6 separate regions of the Mus musculus genome follow, and regions 2, 3, 4, 5 and 6 are each reported to be linked to region 1. The links are microRNA targets in miRTarBase. Many come from high-throughput screens and were not tested one by one. Region 1 holds a microRNA gene; each other region holds the end of a gene's coding sequence.

Region 1 (5,073 bases):
AGCCTGGAGGAACATGGGTAGAGGGAAAGACCTATTAAAGGTCTCCAGGACTTGGCCAAATTCTGAGTCTCAAAAGCAGCTAGGATTCTGTGGTTATCTGCAGATAGGGTCAAGGAACATTCCCCTGAAATGCAGAAAAGAGGGCCCCCTTTGCTCGCCCATTGTCTCATAGCAGGAGACTCAAACTGCACAGTCTTCCCTTCAGTGAGGGTTTGAGTTGAAAACCTTGAACAAAAGAGACCCTTGCCTCTCCTAAATATTAGGATCACAGTTTGGGAGGAATTAGAACTCAAAAAGACTCTAACGGTGGGGTGAGGTGGGAGGGGGTCAGAGATAGAGTCTCCAGTCCGCATCCCTGCCTCAACCTCCTGGTGCTGAGATTACAGATCTCTTCTCTTTGAGGGAATTTTGCCCTATTTATTTTCTATTTTTGCGTGCTGGTCTTGGTGCAATGTACCGTAGAGCCCAAAAGGAAAATGTAAGATCGACAAGAAGAGCGAAGGTGGCCATCAGAACCGCAATTGGCAATGGATTATAGACGTGGCAGGCGGGTTGTAGATGAGGCAGCAAAAGACTAAGGATTGGCATAAAGACATTGGATCCCATTCTCTGGGGGAGGGGCACCCCAATTGCACGTCTTGGACTGGCCTGGGGAGGGAGGGGGTCGGGCATGGAAAGGCTGGGGGGGAGGGGGGGAAGAAACGAGACAGTGACGTCAGACCAGGTATAGCCAATCAGGGGCTGACCTGAGGAAGGAGTGTGAAGGGATGAATGAAAAGTCCGGAGCCTGAGAGCGCCCCCGCCAGAGCAGCGGCCAAGGCTGAGGAGAGAGCTGGGACTCGAGACCCTGCTCCACCCTGCTGGCTCTCGCTCGGCCCCATTACCTGGCAAGCCCCGGCATCCTTGACCCACGTCCGTGGCGCTGCCTGGGTAGGAACGCGCCTGAAGACCGCGCAGGACACTACCACTGGGCATCCTGGGTTTGATGTAAGTGGCCTGACCCGCGTGGGGCACGAGGTGGGGAAAGCGCCTCAGAGTCCAGCGCGCGCGTCCGCCACCTGCGACCACGGAGCTCTACACCCTCTGCACGGTCCCTGGACCTCCTTCCAGTGGGTTCAGTCCAGATAGCCCCCTCCAGCCACTAAGGGCATCTCTCACTCAGACCCCCAGTGGCATATTTCACATCTCTGAATGATTTCGGCTGCGTTTTGCACAAAACCGGCTCCCGCGCGGTTCCGTAGGTCCAGGGCTCGGAGCACCTGCCTGGTCACCCTTTGCCCTAACCCGCAGCCCCACGTCCTGACTGCTCGCCCGATTCTCTCTGGGTGGGGTCTTTGCCCTTGGGAGAGTCGCTGGGGAGTCTCTAGATCACCCTCCACCCCGCCGCCAGCCACAGGCTTCCCTCTGGGCCTCGGGGTTCCCCAGTGCTGGGGTTCCCGTCCGGGGCTTCGCGGCCGCTCCCCTGCAGTCGGTAGCTCGGAGCAGCTCTGCGAGCTCGGCTCTGCCGCACCCCGCGGAGCTCACACTCGACCTTCCAGAGAAGGGTGTGGACACCGTGGGAGGTTGGGGAGGCCTCGGCCTAGGCTTCTGCGGTCTTCCCGGATGGCACGAAGGCCCTGGAGCCTTTCCACTAGCACCGGCGGAACCCTGCTTCTGCACGGAGGAGGGAGTGGGAAATGGGCGGTCAGGCTTGGGGCCGCTTGGTTTCAGCCTAGATTCCCGACCTCAGAACCGTCGGCGGTAGCATCTTTTCCTCGCCTTTCTGAGGTCTCGTCGTGATAGTGCGTGAGGTCCTGGATCCCATCTTTTCGCCTCCACACCACGCGCGTCCCCCATCCGCCGTCGAGCGACTCGAGACTACGGAGGTCCAGGCGGTGGCCGGGAGGCTGCGTGGAAGAGGAGGAGGCGGCCAGGAGGCGGGGTTGGTTGTTATCTTTGGTTATCTAGCTGTATGAGTGGTGTGGAGTCTTCATAAAGCTAGATAACCGAAAGTAAAAATAACCCCATACACTGCGCAGAGGGCCTGGAACGCTGGTAGTGGCCGAGCTGCAGGAGGGAGAGCCGTGCCAGGCGTGCCTGGAGGCTGGAGGGCTGGGGGGAGGGGGACTCGTCGCCTTCAAAGGTTGCTCAGCCCGAGCCACCTCGCGATCCCCACCCGCAACCTGCTCACCTGGGAAGAAAGCAAGAAGCCGCTCTGGGGTCGCCTCTGGAGGCCTGGTCAAAATGGAGCAGTCTGGGCCTCAGTCCGGAGAAGCCGCTCCCGGGAGAGACAGAGCCCTTGGCTGAAGGGTTGGGGGGAAAGTGCAAGCATCCCTCTCCCGGTCTCGACGCATCCCGGGAGCGGGTGGCTGGTGTGAGCAGCTTCCCTCTGGCTCTTCGAAGCGACTGGTGGAGTTCGAGGTTCGTAGGATGTCTCTAGAAAGCTGGTTTTTGCTTTGGTGGTTTCCCTGAAGCCCTTCAGCTTTACTGGGAGTCAAGATTGCCCAGGTGGGAACAGGTCTAGGAGCGGGGAAGGCTTAAAAACCAACACACACATCGAACTTATTAGGGAGAATGGCGATGCAGAAACAAAGTAACCACAAGGGCAAGGGCCAGAGTGGCCAGAGACCTTTTTACCCCACAGGAATTCTGGGACCCTGGGGCGCAGGTTCTTTGCTTTCACTTTGGCCTTCAGGACCAGAGCTAAGTCTAACTGAACTCTCTCTGGCTGCTTTGTCATTAGTGGCTAAAGGTGTAGAGTTGGGGTGGGGGGCTTTAGAGCATCCCACCTTTCGGTCCTAACCTCACTCTTGGAAATCGTGTCCCAAAGGAACAAATGGCCTCAAGGAGCTCTGTGGAGCTCAAACACAAAGGAATGTGTAGCTGTGCTGCCCAGAGAACGCAAAGAATTAGAGAGATTAATTTGGGCTCCTGTAAAAAGAATCTATTTATCTTGCCTGACCTAAATATTTTAGTGAAAGAGGGTTTCTACAGCTGAGAAGATGGTCTAACAAACATGGCCAGAGCTAGGAATCCCCTCTGCTCTCATGGCCCTCAGCCGAACTTGACCAGCTGGCACTTGGAGACCTGGGCTGTACCGACTAATAAGAGGCAGAAAACTGGGCAAAATGTCATCACCCAGACTCCGCTGGTTCTTATAAATTTAAAATTTCCTCCCGGGACCTGATTTTACAGTTAGAAGATAATGATTCAATTTTGTATTACATGGGGGGAAATATTAGAGAATCCAAATTCAAATTCTGGGACTTCAGGGAATCTATTGCCTGTGTGTGTCTTCTTTAGCAGTTAGGGGAGGGAGAGTCGAGTGGCCTCTTAAATTCCAGAAGCTTGGAATTTGTTTTGTTTTGGTAGGGGTGGTGGGGATGAAGCTTAAGTCAAGGAGAAAAGAGGCTGGGTCTAGGCTGGAACTAATGGTCTGGCCACAGCCTGTTTTCTTTTTCCGCTGCTTGAGAGATGCCATGTGATCCCATGTTACACAGGCACAAGTGAGCAGCTGACATTACTCACTGGCTTGACACTCAAAGCTCCTTCCATTTACTCTGTCTTGGAGAAAGTGACACTCCCCACCCCAAGGGAGCCAACTGGGAAAGTAGAAAGAAGGGAAGCCTCTCTGTTATTGGGAATTTGCATGGGCAGAGGAGGGGCATCAATAAAATAAGCTTCCTTATCATTACCATCTTTAATGTTTCCTGTATAGTGTCTTCACTGTAAATTCCAGGACAGCCAGGGCTACACAGCCCTCTATCATAGCACAGGCCTATAATCTGAGCAGTTGCAAAGTAGAGGACGAAGGATCAAGAATTCAAAGTCATCCTTGTCTACACAGCAAGTTCTTGGGCATCCTAGAGTCCCCCTAAACACACACACACACACACACACACACACACACACACACACACACACACACCACATATTCCCAGGAACACTTAGAGTCTCAGTTGCTAACCACAGTAGTTTTATATTATTGTTTCCCATGAGCACATTGGATCACAGGCTCTTCAAAAGAGAGTAGAAGGCTTTAGGAAAAGGAGGAATAGAGGCTAGGAGGTTAGGCTGCTAAGGGTTCATGTCTTCTTTAGATGCACACTGACTGTGTATGTGTACGGTACTCAGCAGGGCAGCAGGTGCCCTTTGTGAAGTCCATGTGCCTAAGGGTGAAGAGAGGGAGGCAGCCTGTGTGGATTGGTATAAGGATGTGTGCTGTGCTAGGAAACTCAGCTGGGACACTGGGGATGCTAGAATGTGGCCAGGCAAAACCACAGAAAAGAGCTGGGGTTTATTAAATGCAGACATCACAGTGATACCAAAGTCTCCTCCTCCTCCTCCTCCTCCTCCTCCTCCTCCTCCTCCTCCTCCTCCCCGTCCTCCTCCCCCTCCTCTCCTTTGTTTTAATTATTTATTTTGTGTCTGTGGTTATATATTTGTAAGTCAGAGGACAAATTATGAGAGAGCCTGTTCACTCCTTTAACCCTGTGGGTTCAGGAGATGGAAATCAAATGTCAGGTTTGGTGGCAAAGACCTTTATCCAGAGATATCTCCATGGATCTCTCCTTTTTTTTTTTTAGAAAGTGTTGCCCAGGCTTCCGTGGAACTGATGACAATTCTCCTGCTTCAGCCTCCCAAGTGCTGAACTTCCCCTCTTTATATCATATAGCACCCTCCCTACCCAGCTAAACTGTGTAGGAGAGCTCCTTTGGTCTGAGTTCATGTTTTGTCCACTTGAGAAGTCTCCTTTGTTTAAAAACTGCCATTTCTATTCTTCAGTCTGCTACACACACCAGACTTACTGGAAACCAATTTCACATCTGGTTTCAAAGATGTCTGTCTCTGCGGGTGTGTTTTGCCTGCATATGTCTATGCACCATATAGTAATGCCCTCCAAGGCAAGAAGAGGATGCTGGATCGCCCTAGAACTGGGGTCACGGATGTTTGTAGATGTTGAGAATTGAAAACTGGATCAGTACAGCCAGTGTTCTTAACCACTGAGCATCTTTCCAGCCCCTCAGCTGTTTCTGTGACCCACGTTTTTCAAGCCCTTGCCCTATGTCCTTTTGCAGGGCTCTCAGTATACGC
Region 2 (5,073 bases), not on the chromosome of region 1:
TCAGCAGGTAATGGTGTCCAGGATTCATCACCATCAAAGACAGTGGCAACACATGGCCACATTCTTAAAAGCACCACCAGCTGGAACCTTCAGTGTGCAGGCTTTGTCTTGAGAATAAGCGACACTCTTTTGTTTTCCTTTCTAGTTTTCCTGCATGTTCTTTGGAGCTGTATCTTGTGAACAGCAAGAGTATGCCGGCCACCCCTTGGACAGCCTGGCAGTAGCAAGCGACAGTGAGGAGGACGTGAGTGGCTGAGCACCCATGCTAACGCTCAGTGATAGCCGCGCTGGGCACTTGGCTGCCTGAAGGCCAAGTGGAAATGGAGCAGACTGTCCCAGGATGCCCCAGACTATCAGTGTCACTAAAATCCGTGTGCTACTCGGGGGACAGAGCTGGCAGCATAGGAATGAGCCATCAGGGCTTAGATGCCACTGTTTACTCTGCTGCAGCCTTGACACGTCCTGTGCTGGTCCCTAAAGCAGACTTTCCTCAGCATGGGGCGAGGTGGGGCTTCTGTGCCCGACTGCAGACAGCAGGCATTCCAGTGTATGTGATGGCCTGACAGGTTTTGTTCAGAGTAGAGAAAAGGTTGTGAATAAAGAAACAGTTAACTTTTCATTTTGTGGTCATTTTATATATGATACAATTTTATTTCCCAGCCCTCAGCTGCTCTGGTTCCTGTGCGCTCTGCAGTGGGAGGCAGAAAGCATGCAGTGAAGTCGGTGTGAGTCATCTGCACACAGCAGCCAGAGCTCAGCCTGGAGAGGAACAAGGTAAGGTGGCGGGGGACAAATGCCTGCCCACTGCTCCTCTCAGGTCTAGCTGCTTACGTGTAGATTACGTGCAAACCTGGCACCAAATGCACTTACGTAACAGCTCACGGTGTAGGACGCTCTCACCAAACCTGTGTACAGTCGGTTACAGGCAACAAAAGGAGCCGCTCAGGAACGTGTGCTTGCTGAGTCCTTGGAAAAGCACCAACCTGGAAGGAAGCATCAACCCGGCAGGACTCAGTGCTGCCCACGTGCGTCAGCGGCTTCAGAAGTGAGAGCAGCGTTCTAGCTGAAACCAGAGGGACTGGGTTCTGTAGCTGCTAAGTGAGTCACAGCTACCCACGGGAATCTAATAAAAACCCAACTCCATCCGAAAATGTTCCTCTGTGAATGAAAATGGGCTTTCAAGAAGCTTTTAGTGGAAGCTGGCAATGCCCACCTATCTCAGCCTTGTCCTCTGTCGTAGGCTGAAGATTTAGGAGTCTCATGTTTACACTGATAACTGGATTTCAGACAGTCTTACCGGGCACAGATGGCTGCAGAGCTACTCTGTAGGTCTCCCTGCCGAGGACAAGGCCTGGGCTCACACACTGATGCAGCTCCCAAGCACCTAGATCAGCAGCAGCCTGGCTGCAGCACCAGTCTGCCCAAGACAGTGACACTACGACACTAGCTGCACCCAGAGCTTTGCACTTCCAGTGGAGCACAAGGTGTGCGTGTGTGGTGCTGGGATGGAATCCGGGGCCTTGCACATCCTAGCATAGTGCTCTGCTACCGACCTCCTCCCCCCCAGCAGTGTTTTTGGTAGCTTCTTCACTCAGTACTGTCTGGAAGGCACAACACCCCAGCTACAAAACCCTCTATTTTACACTCAATTGTCAGTCGGTTTTGGTGAATTTCTGAGGAAGGTAAGTAGCTGTTGATAACTAGCCATTCCGGTCCATGCTCAGACAGTAAAGCACCACAGACACAGCTCCGAGGTGCTGGCTCACTGTCAGGCAGACCAAGAATCTGGGAGCTGAGGGTGGGTGTCTCAGTTCCTGTCCATTCAAACCAAAGGAGTGGCAAATAGTATAAATACTATATTTATTAAATATCTTTACAGTTTATTTAAATGTATTTACAGAACTATTCCTGCATAAGTTATATTTCCAACATCGATTCGGGTCATTGCCTCTGGTAGGACGCACGATGATAGTCTCAACAGAAAAGGCAGCGCATCAGTACACACAGACTCAGACTTGCTTCGTCATTTACTCATCGTTGCCACAGACTACCTACTAACAGTTATGTTTTGACATGGACACTGCTTTATTGAGAAGTTCAATTTTGTGATAAATTTACTTTTTTGAAAGAAATAGAATCCAAATGTCTTCTGTTTCATATTATGTTGTTTTATGTTTTTCTTTTCTTTTTTTTTTTTTTTTTTTTTTTGCTATTGCAAATTTTTTTAAATGTAAAACTGTGACAATTTCCAAGAAAGTGAGTGTTACAACTTTGCCAAAGAGAGCTGCTGTACAGTGACACAGAGCCATGAACCTACTCAGACACGCACAGCTTCAGCCAATCTCGCCAATCCCGCCAGCCGCCTCCAAACCACTCCTGCCCTGTTTCCATCTGCTGGCTACTCTATCCAGAACAAAGGCAGCGGCAGCGGCAGCGGTGGAGGGCACTCTCCTGCCTTGGAGCTTATACCCAGTCTCTCCAGACCCAGCCCAACCCAGACACATACCTGGAATGAATTCTCTGTGAGTGAGTAGCCAAGCACACAGATAACTCGGGATACATGACTTGTTCCCCTCACTTCTCTCTGTTTGTAAGACTCTAGCTACTTCATCTCCACTTGATAATTTTATACTTTTTGTGCGCAGGCAGCTTAAGTTCATAGGAAGAAATAAGGTTCTGATATGTTTAGAGTGCACATTTTTAAAACAGAACAAAATAAAAATTTCAAGCATGTGATAAAAATAGTGATTTTTTTATAATACAGTATTGCTTTATAAATATAGATGGAAAAGCTATAAACTTTACTGGTCTTTGGTGCATCCAGAGGGATAAATAATTTGCCATTTGTAAATTAAAACCCAAATTTTCTCTTTTGTTATAAAAGTTCACTCTGTGAGACAAATATGAGTGCTTACATTGCTTGATTTAAAATACAACTCACGCGCACACCAGGTTCCAGATCAGACCTGGCGAGGGGTGTGTGATGGAGCCCCTGGCCTCAGTGAGTGTGAGCAGCGTTTGCTCTGCCTGACCTCTCGACAGTTATAAAATTAAGTGTGTAACAAAAAGGACAGGGAGAAGCAAATGGAATATACGATGTCACCAGTCCACACGCCAGGCCTGAGGAACTGTCACTGAATCCTGACGTCTGCCTCGTGGTTTTCAGTTTACTAGAACAGCCATACTGCCTGTCTGTTTCTTACAATCACTGCTCAGAAAAGTGAGTTGACTAAAAGTAAGTTGTATAAAACACACCAATCTACTTTTACAAACATTGGTTGATGGGCTAAATGAGAGCAGAAAAAAGCCAGTGACTTGACCAGCTCTGCTCTTAGCAGGAATTAAATGTCGGCATTGGAAAATTAATGCAAAATATATCCAGATTGTAAGGCTACAACACCTCTGACCAAGAACTAATTACAAACCACACAGAAGAGCTGAAGTCCTCAGTCCTAGAGTCACACACCCCATCTGGATGCAACCTTACTGTTTTAAACACAGACACTGCAAAGAGTTTGTGCAAAATAAATACCCACCACGTGCCCCTCACGCCCCAGGATCAACAGAGTGCGACATCTCCTTATCCAGTCTCCCTCCATACCAGAGAACTAACTCAGTGTTGTCAGGTTAGGGGAGTTAAGGCATTCTGACATGTAATTAAAGGTGATTCAAAATAGGAATCTAACATTATGCCAATTTAGGAATAGTAGATAAATTACTGAAGAGCTTACAAATGAGTAACTCATTCTCATGAATGAATGCCTGTTACAAGCATGATGCACTGAGAGCACTGACATGTACATGGTACATGGTAAACAGTTTAAATAAAACAGAGACAGCTACTCAAATATACAAACGCACAGACAGACAAAACCTTTTAAAAACAAGTTGAGGTAACCTCAAACACAAGTTCAATGCAGTAACCAGGGAGCCAGTGTCTCCTGCAGAGGAAGGGCTGCACGGCTGCTCACACCATCTTCACACCAGCGTCATCTGACTTGCACAGAAACACGGCTTTAACTTAAGGGTTTCTAAGTATATACGGCTTTTCTACCACCAAGTTAATGAAGGAAAAGAACGGACCCAAAAATATATATATATCTTTACAGCAGTCAATTGTACATAAACCTTAAAAATAAGTTTGCGCTCGCAGGTAATGGGGAAATCTGAGAAGGAACGTTACCTACTGCAAATGGCTATTGGAACTGTAAACATTAAGCTGGACTCAGGGCCCCACACTCAGCTGCGGTCACTGTGAATGTCAGGTCACCACTAGCTTTCCTGTGGGCTCTGGGAGCTGCAGCCACCACACCATCACCTTGAGGACACAGCGCAGGTGGGGCATGCTCTAAGGGTGGGAGGCTCCTGAGGGAAGGAGCAGGCTGTCCACAGCCAACCCCATCCCAAGCTGCAGCTGCACACTCTAGCCCTGGAAGGCCCGTGGCATCTTACAGGCAGCACGGACGACTTCAGCTACAGCATTTGATTCCCAGGCTTTGAGGAGTTCTGAAATTTTGCGTGGTATTTCCATTACTAGATTTTGGTAAGGAGTCTCCTTCCCCTGTCCCTCTCCTGTGGGCCAGGCCTCTAGCCTGTGACCTGGACAAATCAACAGACTGCCACAGCTGCAGTCACAGGGGCACAATTAAGCATCTTTTAAAAAGCACAAAATATCTGCATCCATAGAACAAAAATTTTCTTCCAATTTGTGACCAAAACCGTCCGCTGCTGGGGTTGGGATGTCATGACCCAGCACAGGATAGAGCAGGACTGTGGGCTCCTGGCAAACAGAAAACACAAAGCCCCAGCAGTCCTCGCAGAGCCTGCGCCTGGGGGACACAGGGCTTCTCCTGGGATGATCCGCGTGTTTTTTGGCCGAGGTGCCGCTATTTACTACTTGTTGAATGTTAACATCCCTTTAACACACTGACATTTTGAGTTCACTTTACCAACATTACTTCTTTTCAAAACTTCAACTGCTTTTGAAAAGTAAAAGACTTTGAAAACCTCCAGGAGAAGGGAGAGGTCACCTCGCTTTTTCTCTCAGTGGGTCACCAGTGGGTACGGGCTAGC
Region 3 (5,073 bases), not on the chromosome of region 1:
TTTAATAAGAATTCATATTTAAAGCATCATGTTTTATAGAAAAAAATTCTTAAATACCAGAAGTACAAATCAAAGATGGAAAAAAGTTAATTTTCACTACATTATATGTAAACCATCAATTGTTCTTGATAAGAAGCTATAGGAAAACTTATTAGCAACAGATTTGGACAAATATTCCAAATATGAAATAATAAAAAAATCAAACATTTCAGAAAAGCAACAAGAAAACAAATCATGAGACTATAGAAGGAGAAAACGAGACAGCTTACAAACCTATGGAGATGTTCTTAACCTCACCAGTAAGGGAAGATGAAAATTAAAGCAACTTTGAAATACAAATTCATACCCATTCAGCTTAGTCAAAATACAGTCTTCATCCTGAAGATGATGAAAAGAGTCAGATATTGCTGCTGGGGATATTACTCTATTTGCTGAAGCTAATTGTACGTTTGTCTTGGGAAATACAGAGGCTTTCTATACAGAGCCTTGTTCCTGGGTCACATGCCTTTCCTACACACTCACCAATGACTACTAAGGCACCGCTTCTTTCCCTCTCCCATGCCCTCTGCAGGTCTGACTACCTTGCTATCCCTTCAGAGAACAAGGAGAACTCTGTGGTACCCGTGGAGGAATAAAGTGGTGTGACTTGAGGTGATGTACAGGCATTTGGGAGGGTAAGGTGGATGTGGGTGGCATTTGGCATCTACAATGGAAGTGACTTTCAATTTGGTCCTTTTGTAGCAATCTCGTCCTTCGGGTACTCTACGTTAATGGTCACATCACAATGCTCTCTATTATATCAAACCCTTCAGAAGCTGAATCACTTTGGCCTGAATATTGAGCAAACCAAACCCCTTGCTCATGATAGCAAAGGCACAATAATTCTCTCGTTCCCTGTTTCCTCCGTATGTGTTTGGAGAGGGTTGCCCTGGACATTCTCAATGAGTTCTTCTATTGTTGGTGGGTGAGCTGAGTGCTGAGCAACTGGCTATCCCCAGTTCAGCAATGCCAGCAACATCAGGAAGTGCCCCAGGTGTCCCAACACATCCATCTTTCTATTCACCAACCACCCACCCAACTGTGAGATTTTTACCTGACTTCCGGACTCTATCAGAACTCCTATACATCTTGACCTTGCCTGAACTGAAGAGCCAACATCTCTCCATGGACTAAACCTCACTCTATCCTTGCTTCCAATCAAGTAGCTCCCAACTCAACTAGAGTTGTCCCCTGTGCTCCAAATGACTTTAGATAAGTACTGGAGAGTAGTAGTCTCTGTGTCCTGTCTGCAATTGGGTTGTCCTTCACTGCAGCAAAAGGATGAATGTATATTGGAAGGAAGCCCTGATTAGTTTGTTTAAAAGCCAAAGTGTGGCATTCACTTTGATTCATTGAAGTCATTCTTTTCCTGCCTCTTAGAACACAAGAGAGCAGCATGCCCGCCCCTAAACTTTCCAGAGACATCTTCTGTGTGCACTGGAATACATTCTGGAGCTCAGTGTTTCGAGGCTATGTCTCCATAATCCCAAAGGCCTGGAACAAACCCAGAACTTCCAAGAAGCCAAGGAAGCATCCAGGACGATTTCAGTAGGTTTTGAAAGCGATATAACACTCCCGAGATTGGAAACACGGATGAGTGAATTTTCTGGGTTGAAATGCCTCACTTCTTCATTTCTCAGTGTCTGTGGATCAGTATTAGTCCTCGTTTTACAGGAGGCATCTGAGACTCACACAAGGCTGAACAGGATATTGAGGGGATTAAACTGGCCGAGAGATGAGTTTCATGCCTCCACTCTTACACTCCCTAAGCTGAAAGATGTTTTTGAGGACTCTTAACAATCAGCAGGGCAGAAGCATGGCATTTGTCCAGCAGAGGCTACAGGTGACATGAGACAGACTTTAGGATTTCACACAAAGATTTGTGAATCTGAAGCATCCTCCAAGAGACATGGCACCTGAGGGCAATAGCTATATGGCAAAAAATGTTTTTAGTCTGAAATGGACAATGAACAAAGAGACAAAGATAGGTGTGTAGCTTCTAAATACCTCACCTGTAGATGTCATGTTTGGGTATTGGTGTTTGTAAAGTCCCCCACCCCTACCCTCATCCCCACCCAAGAGAGCAGGGAACAAGTGACAAGATTCTTAGTCAATATCTCTTTTTTAATGACTGTTCTAAGTGCAATATTCTTTAGCCCCTACAGATAGCAAGGGCAGGAGGCCTTATGGTATATAAAAAGATGCAAGTGAGACTCAGTAAGAGAGTTGTCCTCACTCTGAGGAGCTCTATAAGAAAGACCCTTCTCCACCCCCATCGGGCTTTGTATGGCAAACTCCCTTTTCACCCACACCGTTTCCTTCTTTGTGGATGCCAGACATCCGCCTTGGGACTCCCATCCCACTCTTTTTTATCTGGTTTGTTTGTACATGGGGGTTTATCCAGAAACACAATTGCATTTGCTTATGGGAGATCATGACTATGACCTACAAGGTATGGCACTCACCAGCCAACTTAAAATCTTCACCATCTCCATCTTCTTCCCATCCTTCTACTTTGAATCCCAGACTAGACGTGCGCAGCTCTGGAGCCTTTCCTGGTGTGCTACTGCTTACTAAAGGGCTTAGAAGAGTTCTCAAGGGCTATAATCCTCTAGAAACCCCACTGTTTGTCTTGGTGCTGGGTATTTGCTGTGACTGATTCTCAATAATTTACTGAAGGTCAAACTAAGCTGAGTCTAATTTCCCCTTTATTACTGTCTAACAGCTGTGAACTTGGTTACTCGGTTGGGCCTGAAAGCATCTTGCCCTGTTGACTTGGAGTGTCAGCTAGGTGTTGGATCAAGCCCCAGTCCCTAAGTGGAAATACTCAGTGCTTGCTATCTCAGGCTTTCCTTTCAATTTGTTTACACATTATTCTTTGGTTCCTCCACTCTCAATTAACTGCACACCCATGCTTTCTTTTGAGTTTCTGGGTTTGCTCTAGACATCAAAATAGAATTGCAAGTAGAAAGGGAAGTTTTCAGAGCAAGATTATGCTGAGAAAGATAGCAGTGGGCTTAAAAGTGGAAAGGGCTAAGGTGATAGCCCAATAGGTAAAGTGCTTGCCACGCCAGCGGGAGAGTCTCCGTATGATCTCTAGAATCCATGTGAACAGCCAGACATACATTATGGCACACATTGGTCATCCCAGACCTGGGGAGGCAGAGACAGGAAGATCTGAGACTCGCTAACCAGGTCACCAGGCCAAACTTACTTACTTGGCAAGCTCCAGGAGAGTGAGAGACCCTGTCTCCAAAAACAAAACCAAAAAACCAACAAGGTGGATAGTGCCTGAGGAATGACACCCAAGGTTGACTTCTGGCCTCCACATATACATGCACACAAGTTAAGGCCCATAAGCATACTTACATAAAGATGCACACGCTTGTGTCTGTGTATGTATACATGTGCGTGCACACACACACACACACACACACACAGAGACAGAGAGAGACAGAGAGAGAGACAGAGACCTTCCTCTCACTTGTTTTATAAATGAGAAAGCCCTGGTTCTGTGAATTCACTCAGTCAATGCAAATGTATGTAACCAGGACCTTGGTGTGCCTACGCATCATTCTGATCATCTACTCACATTGTTCAACACTCTCTGTGTCGAGCACTAGGTTAGGCTCTAGTTAGACCCCTTGGTTTTAGGTCTGTAAAAGTGTGCAAGCATGTGTGTGTGTGCGCGCACATGTGTGTGTGTACACTAGTGCACAAGCACATGGTTCCAATAAAGTCTCTCTGTTCATGTCAATAAAGCGTCTCTGAAGACCACTTGCTCTGGGTTTGCTATGCTTTACAACCTGCGGCTGCTGTCCCCTCTGGCTCCCATCCAGCATGCAATCTTTCCAACTTCCCGGACCCAGGAAACTAACAGTGGAGAATAAAAAGTATTCAAAAGTCTAAAGCTAAACGTGCTAGATGAGGGATCCAGCCTTTCGGTTCTTCCTTTTCTCCTCTACACAAACACAAAAGAACACGAAGAAATGCTCTCTTGTCTAACCAGGTGGGGAGATTAGGAAAGATCTAATGTAGGGAAGGCTCAGGTGACTTTCACTTTAGGGAGAATAAGGGCAAAGCTGTTTTCCAGTATCTAGCTTCCAAAAAGGGCCAAGATCCTCTAAAGGGAAAAATAGTAACAAGAGACAATGAGGTTTTTGTCCTTCACAATTGTTGTGTATTTGGGGGAAGGATCGAGATAAGGGTTTCTCTGTGTAACCTGGCAGTCCTGGAACTTACTCTGTATGCCAGGCTAGCCTTGAACTCAGAGATCTACTTGCCTCTCAAGTGCTGGGCTTAAAGATATGCACCATCACACCCATCTCCACCAGCTTAATGTTAACTAAGATTAAAAATCTGGCTTGAAAGATGGTGGTTAACGGTGCTTGTGGCACTTCCAGAAGACCCCAGTTTAGTTCCCCGTACCCATGTCACATGGCTCCCAACCACCTGTAACTCCAGCTCCAGTAGATCTGATATCCTTTTTTTTGGCCAGTGAAGGCACCTATACTCACAGGCACACAGACACGACCATATACACACATAATTTAAAATCTGTTTAAAATATTTAAAGATTAGAACTATTAAGAACTATTGTAGCACAACTGCGGCTACCACTTTAAGAAATATACACGCATTTCTTTATCAAAGACTTTCTCCATAAACACTGAGATGACAGGAGGAATTATTGTGTGCATGACAGATAAAGTCCTCCCTCTCTAAGACTCTTGAAACATCAAAGAAGGAATAGGAAGACCATAGGAGCAGGAAGACGTGGAGGTGTGCCATGAAATGCTGTCTGGCCATTGATCACAACGGCACAGAAGCTGTTTCAGACCTGAACAAGACTGCGCCTTTCAGTCCACCATGGATGTGGTAGGAGCTCATGAGGCCCTACTCTTGTCTGAGGACCTACTGGGGAGAGGCATTTTCTTCAGTGATGTAGCCACTAAGAAGTTGTTTGTGCTTTAGTAAACAACTCTTCTACCCATAGTCATACAAGTTAAAAAAAAAAGACAGAAGGGAAGGAGG
Region 4 (5,073 bases), not on the chromosome of region 1:
CGGAGCTGGCCTGTCGGGAGCCTGATGTCCTCATCTTGGTGAGTGGGCAATCAGAGAAGGGTTTTCGGGTCAGAGCTGGAAATGCAGCTGCTGCAGTGCTCTGCCATAGGCCTCTTCCTTCTCCACAGGATGAACCAACCAATAACTTGGACATAGAGTCCATCGATGCCCTGGGGGAGGCCATCAACGACTACAAGGGGGGTAAGTGCTCAGACAGAGGCAGCTGGAGCTGCTGGGCCTCTTCCTCTTCCACTCCTGACTCCCTCTCTTGATTTGTTCTTCCTCCAAAGCTGTGATCGTTGTCAGCCACGATGCGCGCCTCATCACAGAAACCAACTGCCAGTTGTGGGTGGTGGAGGAGCAGGGTGTCAGTCAGATCGACGGCGACTTTGATGACTACAAGCGAGAGGTGTTGGAGGCCCTGGGTGAGGTCATGGTCAACCGTCCTCGGGATTGAGCTCCCTCCTGGAAGCTGCTGCAACCAGCTCCTATGGCTGGAGTCTAGGCCGTCTCCCCTCATCCACCTAGAAGCCTGCTGCAACCAGCTCCTACGGCTGGAGTCTAGGCCGTCTCCCCTCATCCACCTAGAAGCCTGCCATGGCTGCTGCCAGCTGCAGCAGCCACATAGGCCATGAAGGTGGCGTGTTGCCTTGATGTGTGTGAGAGCATCCATCCGTGTGGATTGTGTCCTTCTCAATGAAGGACTGTGTTCCCCTTGAGGTAACTGAGCTGGCTTGCCCACACTGGCTCAGTCTCTTCAGAAAGAGGTGACCTTTGCTGTGCTGGGTTCCCCTCAGGCCTAGTTAAGGTGGCCTCTTGTCTCAAGACCTTTGCCACTCAGAACTGACCCTGGTCCCTCCTTTTGGAAGGGTACTACTGACTCACTGACACAAACAGCCAGAACCTCAGGGCTGGAGGCAAGTGTCTGAGACCTGGACTGTTTCACCAAAGATCTGGTGCCTGTGGTCCCTTGTCTCGTGGGGACTTGAGGGCAGGAAAGGAGAACTCTAGAACTGAAGTCTCCTTTACAGGGGAGGAAATAAAGTAGTGGGGTGCTGACACCATGTGCCTGTGGGGTGCTTCCTGGGCTTTTTGTGTCCCTCCCCAGCCAGTGCTTGTCCTCCCTGTGCCCTCATGGTTGGGAAAGACACCAGACCAACCCTGTGAATGAAATGGCACTCCACCCTTTGCTCGGGAACCCAGTCTGCTGATGTAAGATCTACAGAGCATGCTGGGATAGAGTTACACCTATAACTCACACCCTGGAGGTGTAGAGAGGGTTTTAATGGCTCTAGTGAGTTTGAGGCAAGCCTTTAGAAAATAGAGCCCTTCCATAGATCTGGTACCAGAGATATACATAGAGTAGATCACTACACAGCTGGCAGAGTCAACTCATCCACTCAGACACTGGGTGGAAATCATCCCTCACAGAGAAAAAGCATGAAGATGGGACCAGAGAGAAGTTTCTACTGTAGATGTCACCTAAAGCCCCTAGTTACAGTGGGGTCCTGAAGGGGACAGCATGGTGGGCTTTGTTACAGAAGGGGACAGCATGGCGGGCTTTGTTACAGAAGGGGACAGCATGGTGGCTCTGTTACAGAACTGAGGTGATAGAACCAAAGGAGACAAGGGCAAGATGGGACAGACAGAAACTGTTAGGTATGACTTATTGAGAAAAAGAATAGTATGTCATTTCCAAGGTGAATATAGATTCAGTTAGGAAAAATTATTTTCCAGCCAAAGTAAATAACATGGACTTTGAAGCAGATTCGTATCAAAAGTAGGGTACAGTGAGCAGGCTGTTGAGTGTGCCCCTCTCTGAAGGGATATGACAACTGACCACCATGGAGCCCTCACCAGGTGGATGGGCAAACCAATGTTCAACATTGTACACTTGACGTTTGCACACCCTTGTGATGAGAATGCAGAAATTATGCAGTGTTAATTGGTGGATAACAAGAGCATGCCTGTGAAGCCTGGTGGTTTAGTGTCAGCACTCTGAAGGCAGAAGCAGGCAAATCTCTGAGTTCAAAACCAGCCCAGCCTACACATTGAGTTCCAAAACAGCTAAGGCTGCTCAGAGAAACCCTGTCTTAAAAAACAAGCAAACTTGGATGTGAAGGGTGGGTGTGGACAGTCTAACGAAGCCCAACTAGCTTGGAACTTGCTAAACACTTGCCGTTCTCCACCAGTTTCCCCCAGTGAACACACTGTGTATGTAGAGTTACATGTTCAAACACAGATGGGAACTTGTCCCTCAAAAAGAAAAACAAGAATGGAACACAGAAGAGAAAAAGCTAGAGTATGGTTCACCCAGAGTCTGGAAAAAAATGTAATTTCATTAAGAGTCATACCTTTGATTCATAAGTTCATTTTATTTTTTTAAAGATTCATTTATTATATCTAAGTATATTGTAGCTATCTTCAGACACTACAGAAGAGGGAGTCAGATCTCATTACAGATGGTTGTGAGCTACTATGTGGTTGCTGGGATTTGAACTCCAGACCTTCGGAAGAGCAGTCCGGTGCTCTTACCCACTGAACCATCTCACCAGCCCCATAAGTTCATTTTAAAGTTGAGATAGTCTAAGGGAGCCTGGCTACCCTGGGACTTCAAGTTTGGTCTTCAGCTCACAGATCTATCTGCCTGGGTGCAGAGGCCCTGCCCCGACTCAGCTTTACAAACAGAATTTTAAACACCTGCAGACAACTAAATATTTCCTATAAATGAGCACCATGGGGATTTTGATTTTGCAAAGTAGGCATTCTGTAGACCAGGCTAGGCTCGGTTGATTACGCCTAGCCAGCCTTGATCATGTAGGCCCATTGCAGCACTCGAAGGTGGTTCTCACAAGTGGTTCCAGGTCCAGCTCATAGCTGTCTGTAAGTACAGTTCCAGGGGTACACTTTCATACACGCGGACACACACACACTCTTAAACATAAAGCACATCTTTTTTTTCCCCAGACAGTTTTTCTGTGTGTCCCTGCTTATCCTGGAACTCGCTCAGGCTGGCCTCAGCCCCAGAGATCCACCTGCCCTGCCTTCTTCGTGCTGGGATTAAATGCGTGTGTACCACCACCACCTGACAAAACAGACACAAAGGGGGTGAGAGGACATGCGTGTACACAGTCACATTCATACACGTTTTTTAATATATATATTTTTTTGAAAGATTTATATATAATAACACTGTAGCTGTCTTCAGACACTCCAGAAGAGGGCATCAGATCTCATTACAGATGATTGTGAGCCACCATGCATTGCTGGGATTTGAACTCAGGAGCTTCAGAAGAGCAGTCAGTGCTCTTACCCACTGAACCATCTCTCCAGCCCGTTCTACACATTTTTGAAAATCAAAATTTTATGAGCTGAAGGGATAGCACAGTGGTAGAGTCCTTTCTGCTCTTCCTGAAGATCTGCGTTCTCAGCGCCTATGTTGGGTGCTCAAACTTGCCTGTAGCTCCAGCTTCAGGGGATCCAAGGATACCAGCCCTCGAGCACAGAACTCCACAAGGATACACATAGATAAAAATATTTTGTCTTAGTCATTGTTCTAATGTGTAGTGACAGGTTATTTTGGAGTTTTGGTTTCATTAAAAACATAGGGCCCGTCGTGGTGGCGCACGCCTTTAATCCCAGCACTTGGGAGGCAGAGGCAGGTAGATTTCTGAGTTCCAGGCCAGCCTAGTCTACAAAGTGAGTTCCAGGACAGCCAGGGCTACAAAGAGAAACCCTGTCTCAAAAAACCAAATAAGGCTGGAGAGATGGCTCAAAGTTAAAGAGCACTCCCTGCTCTTCCCAAGGTCCTGAGTTCAATTCTCAGAACCACATGGTGACTCACAACCATCTATAATGAAATCTGGTTCACTCTTCTGGCCTACAGGAAGAACGCTGTATACAAAATAAATTATATATATAGTTTTCTGCTTTAATAACAGGTGTAGGGATATGGGGCTGCTTCATAGCAGCTGACTAGGGTTTGCCTCCTCTAATGGGCAGGCGCACAATTTTGACAGCTGTAGATAGTTTTTTTGATTGTGTGACAATTGGAGATCTGGAAACGTTACAGAGGGCATATAAGTGGGAGTACCCTGATGTGCGAGTTGTTGGTTGGTTGGTTGTTGAGGTTTGTTGATAGTGGCGTGCAAAGAACTCTGCCTCCTATGTGTGGGGATTAGAGAGGAGTACCACTCCCACACCCTAACATTTTTATTCTGAGTGGAAGAGATTTAGATTTTATGTGTATGGTAGAAACCAGGTCTGCCAGCCCAGGGATGGCACCACCAATGGGCTGGCAATCCCTGGTTTAGACAATGCCCTACAGATGATCTCATAGAGGCATTGTCTCAACTGAGGCTTCCCTCTCTCTCTGGTGACTCTAACTTGTGTCAAAGTAACATAAAAGTAGCCAGCACACAACGTCCTGAGAACTGGAGTTCTCACTTGAGGTCTGGGAATTGAACCCCAGGCCTCTGCAACTGCTCCAACCAGCAGAGCCACCAAGCAGGCTCTACAGCCCTAGCTTTTCTTTTACTAAAAGAAGTGAAACACACCAGGGGTTAAATGAGCTGCTTCTCTTTCCACTGTTTATTATTAATGTACAAAATATACAAAACCAAAAGAAAAACTCCTCGAATCCATTGTGGTTCTAACCCAAGACCCTTCACAAAACCAACCCACTGTTTTCATAGAAAACAACTGATGCCAAGACAAGGGGAGGAGACGACTGGGAAGGGCCCCTACTGCTGAGTCTGCCCAGGAAGCCTCAGACAGGGCTCCTCATGGGGTAAGGAAGGAGCAGGCCCACTCCCAAAGGCAGTGCATGTAGTGCTTCAGGCCCGCTGTACCCGGCTAAAGTTAATGAAAGCTGGTCTCACGGAGTCTCTAATACCGCTGTAGGCAGGAGTGGCCCAACACTACAGGATGCCCCTCTGCCAGATAACAACTTCCTTGGATACAGATGTGAACATGCCATCACTGAACCTAGCAGACCCACAATGACCTGGGAAGTAACAGTTGCAGTCTTTCTTGAGAAAGGACTCAACAGTGACTGGCCCATGTGGGGCACAA
Region 5 (5,073 bases), not on the chromosome of region 1:
TACTTTGCCTTAAAAACAGTTGTTTAAAAAACAAAAACAAAAAGGTGTTTTGTTCTCTGACCCTACACTCATGGGCTGTGGCATACATTCCCACATATGTACCAAGAAGCCATAGGGAACAGGGTCTACTGTCTGATTGTGGAGCTGAGTAGGTCTTGTTGGGACTCAGACCATGTACAGTATACAGTGTCCTGGGTCTGGGTCTGGGTCTATAGCACTGGGCAATGGCAGGCCACCTACGGCTCTTTCCTTATCCACAATGAATGTCATCAGAGGTTTGGGGCTTTTGGCAAAGAACTTTCCAGCCAGAGCCAGTGGACACTTGTGGCATGCAGGAATACGACTCCTCTACTCTCTTCCCTGACCCTCTAGCGGAAGCTCAATGTGGTGTCTGCCTTACAAATGATGACAAGGTCCTGGACATGGAACAACCTAGAAATGAAAGAAGCCTGGGCTCTGCCTGGCCAGGTGGGGTGGATCACCTCTCTCTGCTGACACCTGCCAATTCCCCTCCAGAGAGCTGACCCTCAGCCACCCAGTTACAAAAGCCTGGAGAATAAAATGCTTTGAAACCAGGTGATATGCACCCAGTTTTCCTGGTTACTTGCTGTGCAATATCAAGCAAGCAACACTACCTCTCTGCATCTGTTCAACTATCAGAAAGACGTTCATTCCTTATATGATGCTTTGCCAAGAAGATCCAATGAGAGAACACAAGCCAGAGGCCAGCATAGGCTCAGTGAAGAGCAGGCCTTCAGCAGAAGTCAGATCCCTGCCTTCCCAACTCCCAGTAGCCTTTGTTGTTAAGCTGCTGGCAGGCTCAAATCAGCCTCCACCAGGCCATGACGCAGGCTGAAGATGTTCTCCTGAGTGACGGGCTCAAGGAGAGAGGATAGACAAGTACTCCATGTTCAGAGTATGGGCCTCTCTGAAACTTGACTCTCAGGGCTCATTTTAGAGGCCAGGAGATTGGCATGAGGTTCTCAGGCCAGCCTCAGTCTCTCCAGGAAGGGCAGCCTAACAGCTCATTCTACCCTGTCCTAGGTGGAGATGTCTGCAGGGGAAATCTCCCCCTCCCCCCCCATCCCCTCACCCCACCCCTGTTAACCTCATTCTAGTGCCAGAACTGTGGGAGCAGAGAGGAGTAGAGAGAGAAGAGGAAGGAGGGAGCATGGAGCAAGGGAGAGGGGAAGGAAGAGGTGGCATGGAGCTAGCAGGTTCTGGGCTACACTGATTTGTGTTGTGCTCATCTGACCCAGATGCCTGCCTACCTCCTGTATGTGGATGGTGTTTGCTGGGATGTTATTTACTCAAGGTCCCGCATGGAAGCTATGCGATGGTGGCAGTAGGCTAAGCTCTGAGGGGACACACTGGGGAGAACACTTTCCCATGTAGCCAAGACAGTGACTGTAACAACAGGGAGAGATCACTTCCATATTTCATTCTACAAAAGACATGATGGAGAAAGTGCCCAAGAGGCTTGTGCCACACTCAGACCCATGCCATGTGAGGCCAAGTGCTAGAGAACAGACATGTAGAAAGGTGCTCTTCACACCCCAATACAGTCTAGCCTACTTTGCTTGCAAGTGACCCTATAGGGATTGTGGCCCCCTAGCTGGGCTCCTGGCCCTGTGGGTCCTTTGTCTTATTCTCTGATCTCCATCTGCAGGCCCTGGCAACCTGCTGTGCTCAAAGCCACCTGCCAGGATGAAAACCTTTCTCCCAGACACACCACGGTCCCAGAACACCATTCACATGTCAGTTATGCCTCTTGGACAAGCAGTTGAGTTCTGTGCCAGTTGAGAAAACATGGGCCACAACGGTGTATCATGGAAATGGACAGGAGGGTGCTTGAGGTGGGTTAGCAGCAGCCTCCTGCCTTTCTCTTTGCCCAGAGAGGCACCCAGGCACATTAAGCATCATTTATGGGGTCATTCATGATGCGTCCAGCATCCCTGCCTCCAGGTGCTGTCCCCAACCACATTCCATCCCTTCTCAACTTGGAAAGATTGACTGTTCTTGCCATTCAGAAAGCTGCCTGTTGTCACACATTCACAGATGCTGGTCCTGCCCCAAGCTGGCCTTCTAGATGGCACCGCCTACCATCCCTATGGATTTTCCGTCCTGTGTCTTGAAAAGTGTGAGCAACATCTCTGGCCCCTCCCAGTAGAGATGTGGAGCAATCCCATCTTTTCCATTATGTAAAGAAAGCAGACTCATATTACCAGGCTGGTCACTGTAGCAATCCTCCTGCCACAACTGGACAACAGACACATGTCACAGTATCTGACTCCTCGGCCAGTCTTGATAATCAATGATCATTGCAGACAGTGCTGCTAATAACCACTCAGGGCACACACTCTGGCAGGCCAGGCACAATCTCCTTATTTGGGTTTCATCCTCCAAATTTTGAACTCAAAAACAACTGTTGTATGCAAGGAGGTCTTGACCCAGACAGAGGCCCCTCCCAGGGAAATACAGGAAGTAAGCATCAAAGGCACAGCTAACAAACCAACTTTAATTGATAGTGTACACAGAGGTCCAGGCAGTAGAGCTTGACCGGATGGACCAGGCCATAGACTTGCCTGGACAAGTACCTGGTATACTCAGGACTGGGGCTGGAGTCATTGTAGGACAGAAGCAGGTGCTGAAGCAATTGTGCTGAGCAGCAGGTGTGTGTATGGAGTCTGGGCTGGGCCTGGTGTGCAGAGCAAGGGTGACAATGTGCACAGTATCCACAGATAGCCTCAGTGATTGCTCTGAGGAAGGCATATGTAACATGATCCAAATCCCGGCTACTGGGAGCTCCAAGGAGACAGGGTATGACGTGGTGTGTATGGAAGGCCCATGGCCGACCCAGCTTGCAGGGAGTGACCTGGGCCTTGAGAGAATGCACTATTAGATTGCTGTGGTTTCTGATAATCATCAGCTTCAATAATTCATGGGGGGGGGGGGGCGCGCTAGGGGTACCATGATGGATGTGTGGAGGTCAATGGATGACTTCTCTCCTTCCACCACATGGAACCCCGGGACCAAACTCAGGTTGAAAGCTTGGCAGCAGGTGTCTTTACCCAGAGTCATCTCAAATGGGCCAGCTGCAGTACTAATAAGACTAAAGCACAGATGCATTAAGAGGTGGTGAACAGGACCTTTGGTTTTCAGGGTCACCCCCACTCCTGTGTACCTAGCATAGCCTGAACACTAGGGTAAGTCCTGCAATATGTCCTTCCAACCTTTCCTGGACTCGGCTCTGGCTCTCAACTGCTCCACTTCCTCCAACAGCTGTGTGCGCAGAAAGGGCACCATGGGAGGGCAGAGGCCGGAGCTGGGGACACACAGGACCCCTCGCTCTCTGTTGCCTAGCACACAAGGGACCAGTATCAGGTAGGTGCTTGGCAGATGTTTAAGGAACTAAAGCAGAAGAAAGCTGCATCTAGTCAGAGCTCTGTCCTGAACTAGTTAGGAGTGCGGAGGGGGTTAGAATCACTCTCTCAAAGCTCAGTCATCCTCTCCAGAGGGCAGGAGATTACTGCTGTGACTGTGGCACTGTGGGCTCTTTGTAGGCCGATGGACACTGGGCAGAACACAGCCTGCCTGGGAGCAGGGAGGGAGACCCCGGCCAAAGCAATGGATTTGAATTGGGAAGCCCGGTCAAAGACAAAGCATTGGCCTCTTACAGTACAAGGACTTCATGTCTACTGCAAACAGAACAGGAAAGACACTTCAAAACAAAGAGAAATATCGTATGGAGGAGCCTGGGAGTGGAGCCAAAAGGCAGTGATCTGGGGGACACCGGTCTCTCTCTCTCTCTCTCTCTCTCTCTCTCTCTCTCTCTCTCTCTCTCTCTCTCTCTCTCTCTCTCTCTCTCTCTCTCTCCCTTTCTCTCTCCCCCCTCCACTCAAGGTCATGATGGCCCCAGGGGCTAAATTGGGGGGCAGTGTACACAGCTGGGCCAGACGGCAGGAGCTGAAGACCCAGGATGGTGGTTTCTCCAGGGACACTGAGACCAAGCTGGTCTGAACAGAGGGAGCAGAGGCCACCAGGGAACCTGGCTGGGGCATCTGGCTAAGATGTTCTCATCCTGTGACTTGTACTGAGCATCTTGCTTTGATGCAGGACTCCTGGCCTTTTTGCATCCCTCCCACGGAAAGCTTGTCTCGGCATGAGTGCTGTCATGTCCCTAGACATGTCTCCGTCCTCCCACAAAGGAACCACACTCACGGCTCACAGGAGGTGTCCAGGAAACAAGAGAATGGGCACAGGGTACACACCTAGGGCCCTCTGTGGGATGTGCGCAGTGGGAATCCTCAGCCACCTCCCTTAAGGCACTGCCCAAGCCCCCTCCCCGATGTCCCTGCCTCTCACTGGATGCTACACTTGTCCCTCTCTCGGGCCTGGCCCTCCCGTAGGACCTTGGCCTTGATGTACTTGAGGTCACTGTTGACACTGGGGCGTCGGGCAAAGGGTGAGACCATGCCATAGGCACCTGCGACCTTAGTGCGACGCATGCAGAAGGGCCGGGGGTGAAAAGCATCGCCGTACTGCACGGAGATCTTATGGTGCAGTGCAGGGCTCATCTCATGGGGCAGCTTGGCCATGCTGAACAGCACATAGAACATCTCATTCACATTAGTGTTCTTCTTGGCTGACACCTCGAAGTAGGCGCAGTTTTCATCACCAGACACCAGCAGCTCAGCCTCCATGGCAGGGACCTGGCGGCACAGCTCACTGTGGTCATTCTTGTTCCCACAGATCACCATGGGCAGCTCTGCTGCCTCCTTGGTTTTATTCTTCAGGCAGGACTTGACCTCCAGGATCTGTTTCTGGAGGCGCTTGACCTCATCAAAGGACTCCCGGCTATCCAGGCTGAACACCAGGATGAAGACATCTCCTGTGAAGGGGATGAGGCAAGTAAACAAGGGCCAGGATGGCCTGGTGTCCCACTCAGCACAGGTCCCATCAGCTGCCACCTAGGAAGCCTGCAAACCCTGACCCGGAGGCTCCTCCAGGCATCTGCTATCACTGTCCCCACTTCCCAAAAGAGGGAGCCAGGGTTCAGCAGGGGTTGTGAGT
Region 6 (5,073 bases), not on the chromosome of region 1:
GACCCATAGGCTTACATACAATATTGAACGATGTTCACCACTTTACTTTCAGACTTGAAGTTATTTTTTTTAACTTTTTCCATTTTTTATTAGGTATTTTCTTCATTTACATTTCAAATGCTACCCTGAAATTCCCCTATCCCCTCCCCCCACCCTGATCCCCTACCCACCCACTCCCACTTCTTGGCCCTGTTGTTCCCCTGTACTGGGGCATAGTGCAATTTCTTGTCTTGTGTCATTTGAAAGGAGCCATGAAATGATTTGCAAAGCAAATGCTTTTCTGGAATTCCTGAGGGTGTGTATGTGTCAGGTGGCCGAAAGGGTGTGTATAACTGGTTTTGTTATCATCTTGACACAAACTTTTAGTGACTTAGGAAGAAGAAACCTTAACTGAAGAACTGTCTCCATGGATTGGACCGGATGCCCATCTGTGGGGAACTGTGTTGGCTGATGATTGGAAGTGCACAGCCCACAGTGGGTAGCACAATCCCTAGGCAGGAGAGTCTGTGTTGTATAAGAAAGCAGGCTGAGCACAAGCCAGAGAGAGCAAGCAGTGTTTCCTCCAGAACCTCTGCTTCAGTTCCTGCTTCCAGGGTCCAGCCTTGAGTCCCTGCCCGGACTTCCTTCAGTGATTGACAGCTACTTAGACGCTGTAAGCTGAAGCAAACCCTTTCCTTCCTTTTGTCGTGGTGTTTGGCACAGCAACAGAGCAGGACTGGAAGGGTGTGATATTTGGAGCATTGACAGAAACTGTTATCACCAAAGCAACCAAGCTGAGTGTCATGCAGGGGAAGAGATTCGCTTTGTCAAGCTGACAACCAAGCTCTCTGACTTTGACGCGAGGGGAAATAATTCGAAGGCTTTTCAGCAAAATTTCTAGGGATCAGATAGAATTTCCCCAGAATGAGCCAAACAGTGGTGGAACTTGCCTGTAATCCCAGCATTATGAAGGCCGAGACAGGCAGATCTCTGAGGCCAAGGCCAGCCTGGTCTACAGAGCAAATTCCAGGACAGCCAGGGCTACACAGAGAAACCCTGTCTCAAAAAAACAAAACAAACAAAAAACAAAAAACAAACAAACAAAAAAAAAAAACAAAACAAAACCAAAAAACAAAACCAAACATTTCCCAAAATGTTTCCTACCAGGATCGTGCACTGAGAGTAGCTCTGGGGTGAGGAGCTTTTGCCCTGGGAGATGCTGAACTTGGATTTTGTGTAGGTGCCCAGAGAACTTAGTGCCTTAACAAACAGCTGTTGATGGGCTCTGAGATTTTCCCTTGGTCCATCCTATCTTCAGTGGCCACCCCCAACACACCTGCAAACACACACACCAAGCAGCATGTGAGCGCACACACATACTAATTCCACAGCCTTTTACGTAGGCCATGGACATTTTCCCAACAGGGGCACTCATCCTATGAGACCACTTTCCTGGCTAATGCACATTCTTAAGTATGTCCACAAAATAGCTGTTACCGTTTTTTCTCCTTGTTTTTGATCTTTTTTTTTTTTTCTGTTCTTTTTCCATAATTGACAGCAATAGGGTAAAGAAGGTGATTTGAAAGTGTAAAGGAAGGCTGGAGAGATGGCTCAGCAGTTGAGAGCACTGACTACTCTTCTAGAGGTCCTGAGTTCAATTCCCAGCAACCACATGGTGGCTCACAACCATCTGTAATGAGATCTGATGCCCTCTTCTGGTGTGTCTGAAGACAGTACAGTGTACTCAGATGTTCATTGCAGTGAGTCATCGGTCTGGTTCCAGGCCTCTGGCTCCCATCAACCCTGCATCCTCACCAGCACTCCTCTCAGATATCCTGGTGCTGCCCTGAATTATGGAGATCCTGCAATGAAAATTTCCAAGTAAAAATGTGTGGACAAAAGGATAAATTGTGGGACACACTGTGACACACTACAGCTTCCATAATGAGATGCTTTTGTTTTGTTTTATATTTTTATTATTTTATTTTATTCCTGTCTTTTGTTTTCTTTTAGGGGAAGGTTGTAAGGTGGAGGGCGGATAGGAAGGGACTGGAAAATGAGTGGGATTGGGGTGCACGACGTGAAACTTACAACTCTCTCCTCCCTGACCCTTTTTTGGGTAAGACGTATTTATTGTATGTGTGTGAGTATACTGTCTACCACATACTTGCACACATCGTAGTGGCTCCCACTGTGGGCAGGCAGGCCTCTGGGTTTCCTCCCCAACCCACACTGCATGGCATGGTGGCTGCAGGTGGGCCTTCTGGGTACTTTGTCTTTTAGTCATTTGATATTTATCTGTTTATTTTACATGTTAATTATGTACTTGGGGAAGGGGATGTTCAGGTTCCATGTGCACTTGTGGAGGCCAGGACAACTTGCAGGCATATGTTCTCTCCTCCCACTCCACAGGATCTGGGGTTGAACTCAGGTTGTCAGACTTAGTAGCAAGCACACTCACCCACACTGAACCATCTCACTGGTCCTGGATCAGTTTTTACATACACGCTAAGAATCCACAATTTTCTAGTGTTCTACATCAGAAAAGAATCACAGGAGGTCCGAGAGCATCCAAGGGAATTTATTTTGCAAGCAGGTAAAGTGAAAATGGGCATACACGAGAGGACACAGAGAGAGAACAGAGCATCTGCTGTGAATCTTTTAACTTTGGAGTTTGAACTTGACCAGGAGACGGCAGGTACTTAATGATGAATTTACACTCTGCAAATAAAGTGCTTTGTAGGAAAATCCTTCTGGCCATGGTCAAGGCCTCACCATAGTTCTCTTCCTCAGATCTTTAAAGAGGCAGTCCCTAATAGAGTCACCAGGCAATGACAGATGTCTGATTAGTGCTCTGGTTCACCAAAATGGGGTGGATGCAGATGGTGAGGGGGGTGCGTGGAACTCTTAGGCTTGTTTACTGTGGCTCTCAGGGTTTGTGAGTAGTCTCCAGTTAAGCCACAACTCCTTTAACATTTTAAGGATCCACTCTGTCATCCCCCCCCCCCCCCCATTGTAAGTTTATACTGAGCATGGTCTTCACTGTCAGTCTTCATAAAGCCTTCTAGAGAAGAACAAATCCTCAAAAAGAACCAAGGGTCAGTGCTAATATTCTACAAAGAGGTGCCCGCATCATAGGCCTCAGAGGCTGGGCAGGGCTCAAGGGCAGGTAGGGTACTGTTCTGGGATGAAAGGCTGGGGATGGAGAAACTAACATTTTAGGCAGAAATAAATTGCAGTTTAGTGGGAATCATGTGACTTCAAGATGTTAGAGTTCTGGGAGATGTCAGTGGTAGCACAAGGTTTCGTAGAAGTTTTGGTGACACCCTCAACCAAAAGAATTTACTTCATGATTTCCCATCATGTTGGTGTGAAAGTTGGGGTTCCAGAAACTAAAAGACACTTCTTGGGCCTTCATTTCTCAGCTGGAAGTCAGCCTCCAAGTAAATGAGAGCAAACTGGCCACTCTCCAATGAGATCCAGGCCAGGTGAACTGCCTTACGAAAGGGGAGAAGCCCCCAGAGCACAGACAGGATAAAGAAATTAAGCAGAGGAACTAACAGTCACTCAATACAATGAGTAGAGCCTCATTGGGCCAATGATGAAGCCTAGGCTGAGGCAGACTTCTCAGTCTTGGAAGCCCCTACACACCACTTCTGATGGGTCCATCACTGGCAGGCATGCACAGTCAGCTTTACAAGTCAATGGCCAGGAAAAACTCAGCTTTTCTTCAACATCATAAAGAGCTACAGGCATGGTGGGTAGGACCAGGGAGGGAAAAATTCCTTCTATGTGTGTTCTAGAGTTATTTTAAAGTTATGCTTCAAGCTCTGATTAGGAGTAAAGACCACAGGATCCCAAGATCCCTGCATCTTTCTAGGCATCACTGAGTATATCTCAAAGGGTCAAACACTTTTGGCCTGAGGATTCAGGACATCACCCACCCCAGTCTGCAAAACCTAAATATTCATAACTGTAGATGAGACCAGCAGCCCCAGAGATGCCTACACAGATACACAAGCAGTCACCTGGGATTCTAGGTACCTGCCACTCTTAGCTCAGGTGTTACCCCCACCCGATACACACACAAACTCACCTCCCCTAAACAAACCCCTCTGCATAGAGCTCACCATGGCATTTACTATTATGCTGTGCCTTGTTTGTTTACATTTTTCTTTCTAGCACAATTATATTTGGGGCTCCCTTATTAAATAGATGGTGGGATCTAGCACCTGACACATGTAGGAAGAGTTGGTCTGAAATGAAAGAGAACTAAACTGAATTGAATTGAACCAAAACGACAGTGGAGGACACAGAGTAGTCATTTCCTCAGCTCCCCAGCCACAGCCCCCCCACCCTCCAACAAGGTCCTCACTGCTTCTTATGGAACAGAGCGGGGGCTGGTTCATTGCTAGGCTCAGCCATGACCTGCATGGGCTGGTTGTTCAGGGCAGCCTCTCGCATCTTGTGATACATGAATTCGTTTTGGCGGAACATACGCAGCTCCATCTCTGTCTGCATCCGCATGGCCTGTGGGACATAGATAGACACAGCACCGATAATAACAAGTCCTCAAGACACAGTTCTGACACATCTTTGGATAAATGACCCCTGGTCAGTATTATTTAACTCTATCCCTTCAAAAACGGGGGGCGGCGGGGGGTTTACAATATTGTGAATTGATGGTGTAGCAGTATGCCTAGCATCATAGAGAGAGGAAGTTGGACCCATGAGACAGTAGCCAAATGGTTGTTTTCAGTAGAAAATGCTTCCTCTCACTATCAGCTGAGAACCTGGATCTGAACCCTGGATCCTGAACTCTGTGGTTGTAGGACCTCAGCGAAGCGCCTTGATCACTTCAGCCCCCTGTTTCACCATTCCAAAGACAGTAAGATTTCTCTGTACTTTACAGCAGGTTGGAAAGATTATCGGGAACAAGACGCAACTAAGTTCTTGTTCTCCCACATATCCACTCAGGGAATATTCAGAGGGAGCTAGATGCTCAGAGACTCAGGACACTATGGTAAGACTGACAAGAGATCCTGCCAAGATTTGACAATATTATATATATAATTGACAAGATTAATATACTAG

What was found. Region 1 holds the annotated microRNA mmu-miR-9-5p (UCUUUGGUUAUCUAGCUGUAUGA, at 1,933-1,955, shown strand). A microRNA usually pairs through its seed, bases 2 to 8, with sites in the 3' UTR of a target mRNA and lowers its output. Matches are read on the target gene's strand: a 7mer-m8 pairs with bases 2 to 8, a 7mer-A1 pairs with bases 2 to 7 and ends in A, and an 8mer does both.
Region 2: miRTarBase lists Rad9b as a target of mmu-miR-9-5p. Seed matches in the 3' UTR shown: 7mer-A1 at 2,275-2,281.
Region 3: the mRNA of Scn3b is a reported target of mmu-miR-9-5p. The part of its 3' UTR that is shown has no 7-base or 8-base seed match.
Region 4: miRTarBase lists Abcf1 as a target of mmu-miR-9-5p. Seed matches in the 3' UTR shown: 8mer at 945-952.
Region 5: the mRNA of Rasd2 is a reported target of mmu-miR-9-5p. Seed matches in the 3' UTR shown: 7mer-m8 at 3,150-3,156.
Region 6: miRTarBase lists Smyd1 as a target of mmu-miR-9-5p. The part of its 3' UTR that is shown has no 7-base or 8-base seed match.

Annotation. Positions count from the first base shown.
Region 1 is chr3:88,213,681-88,218,753 of GRCm38, forward strand. Mir9-1 (microRNA 9-1) reads left to right here and starts at 1,918; the gene lies at 1,918-2,006. The region is part of intron 2 of Gm3764 (predicted gene 3764); the gene reads left to right. Mir3093 (microRNA 3093) reads left to right here and starts at 1,491; the gene lies at 1,491-1,577. It overlaps Gm25641 (predicted gene, 25641), which reads right to left and starts at 1,990; the gene lies at 1,933-1,990.
Region 2 is chr5:122,321,052-122,326,124 of GRCm38, reverse strand. Rad9b (RAD9 checkpoint clamp component B) reads left to right here. Exons shown (of 13, transcript NM_001382853.1): 11 at 146-244; 12 at 661-774; 13 at 1,901-2,902. The coding sequence ends at 729. Pptc7 (PTC7 protein phosphatase homolog) reads right to left here. Exons shown (of 6, transcript NM_177242.4): 6 at 1,844-5,073. Among named protein-coding and RNA genes, the nearest start is that of Rad9b, 31 kb to the left of the region's middle.
Region 3 is chr9:40,287,803-40,292,875 of GRCm38, forward strand. Scn3b (sodium channel, voltage-gated, type III, beta) reads left to right here. Exons shown (of 7, transcript NM_001083917.1): 6 at 572-651; 7 at 742-3,816. The coding sequence ends at 635. Among named protein-coding and RNA genes, the nearest start is that of Scn3b, 21 kb to the left of the region's middle.
Region 4 is chr17:35,952,807-35,957,879 of GRCm38, reverse strand. It overlaps Abcf1 (ATP-binding cassette, sub-family F (GCN20), member 1), which reads left to right. Exons shown (of 23, transcript NM_013854.1): 21 at 1-38; 22 at 129-201; 23 at 291-1,061. The coding sequence ends at 457. It also overlaps the pseudogene Gm8801. Among named protein-coding and RNA genes, the nearest start is that of Mir877, 5.5 kb to the left of the region's middle.
Region 5 is chr8:75,221,537-75,226,609 of GRCm38, reverse strand. Rasd2 (RASD family, member 2) reads right to left here. Exons shown (of 3, transcript NM_029182.1): 3 at 2,497-4,891. The coding sequence ends at 4,362. Among named protein-coding and RNA genes, the nearest start is that of Rasd2, 10 kb to the right of the region's middle.
Region 6 is chr6:71,211,401-71,216,473 of GRCm38, forward strand. Smyd1 (SET and MYND domain containing 1) reads right to left here. Exons shown (of 10, transcript NM_001160127.1): 10 at 2,540-4,509. The coding sequence ends at 4,351. Among named protein-coding and RNA genes, the nearest start is that of Fabp1, 14 kb to the left of the region's middle.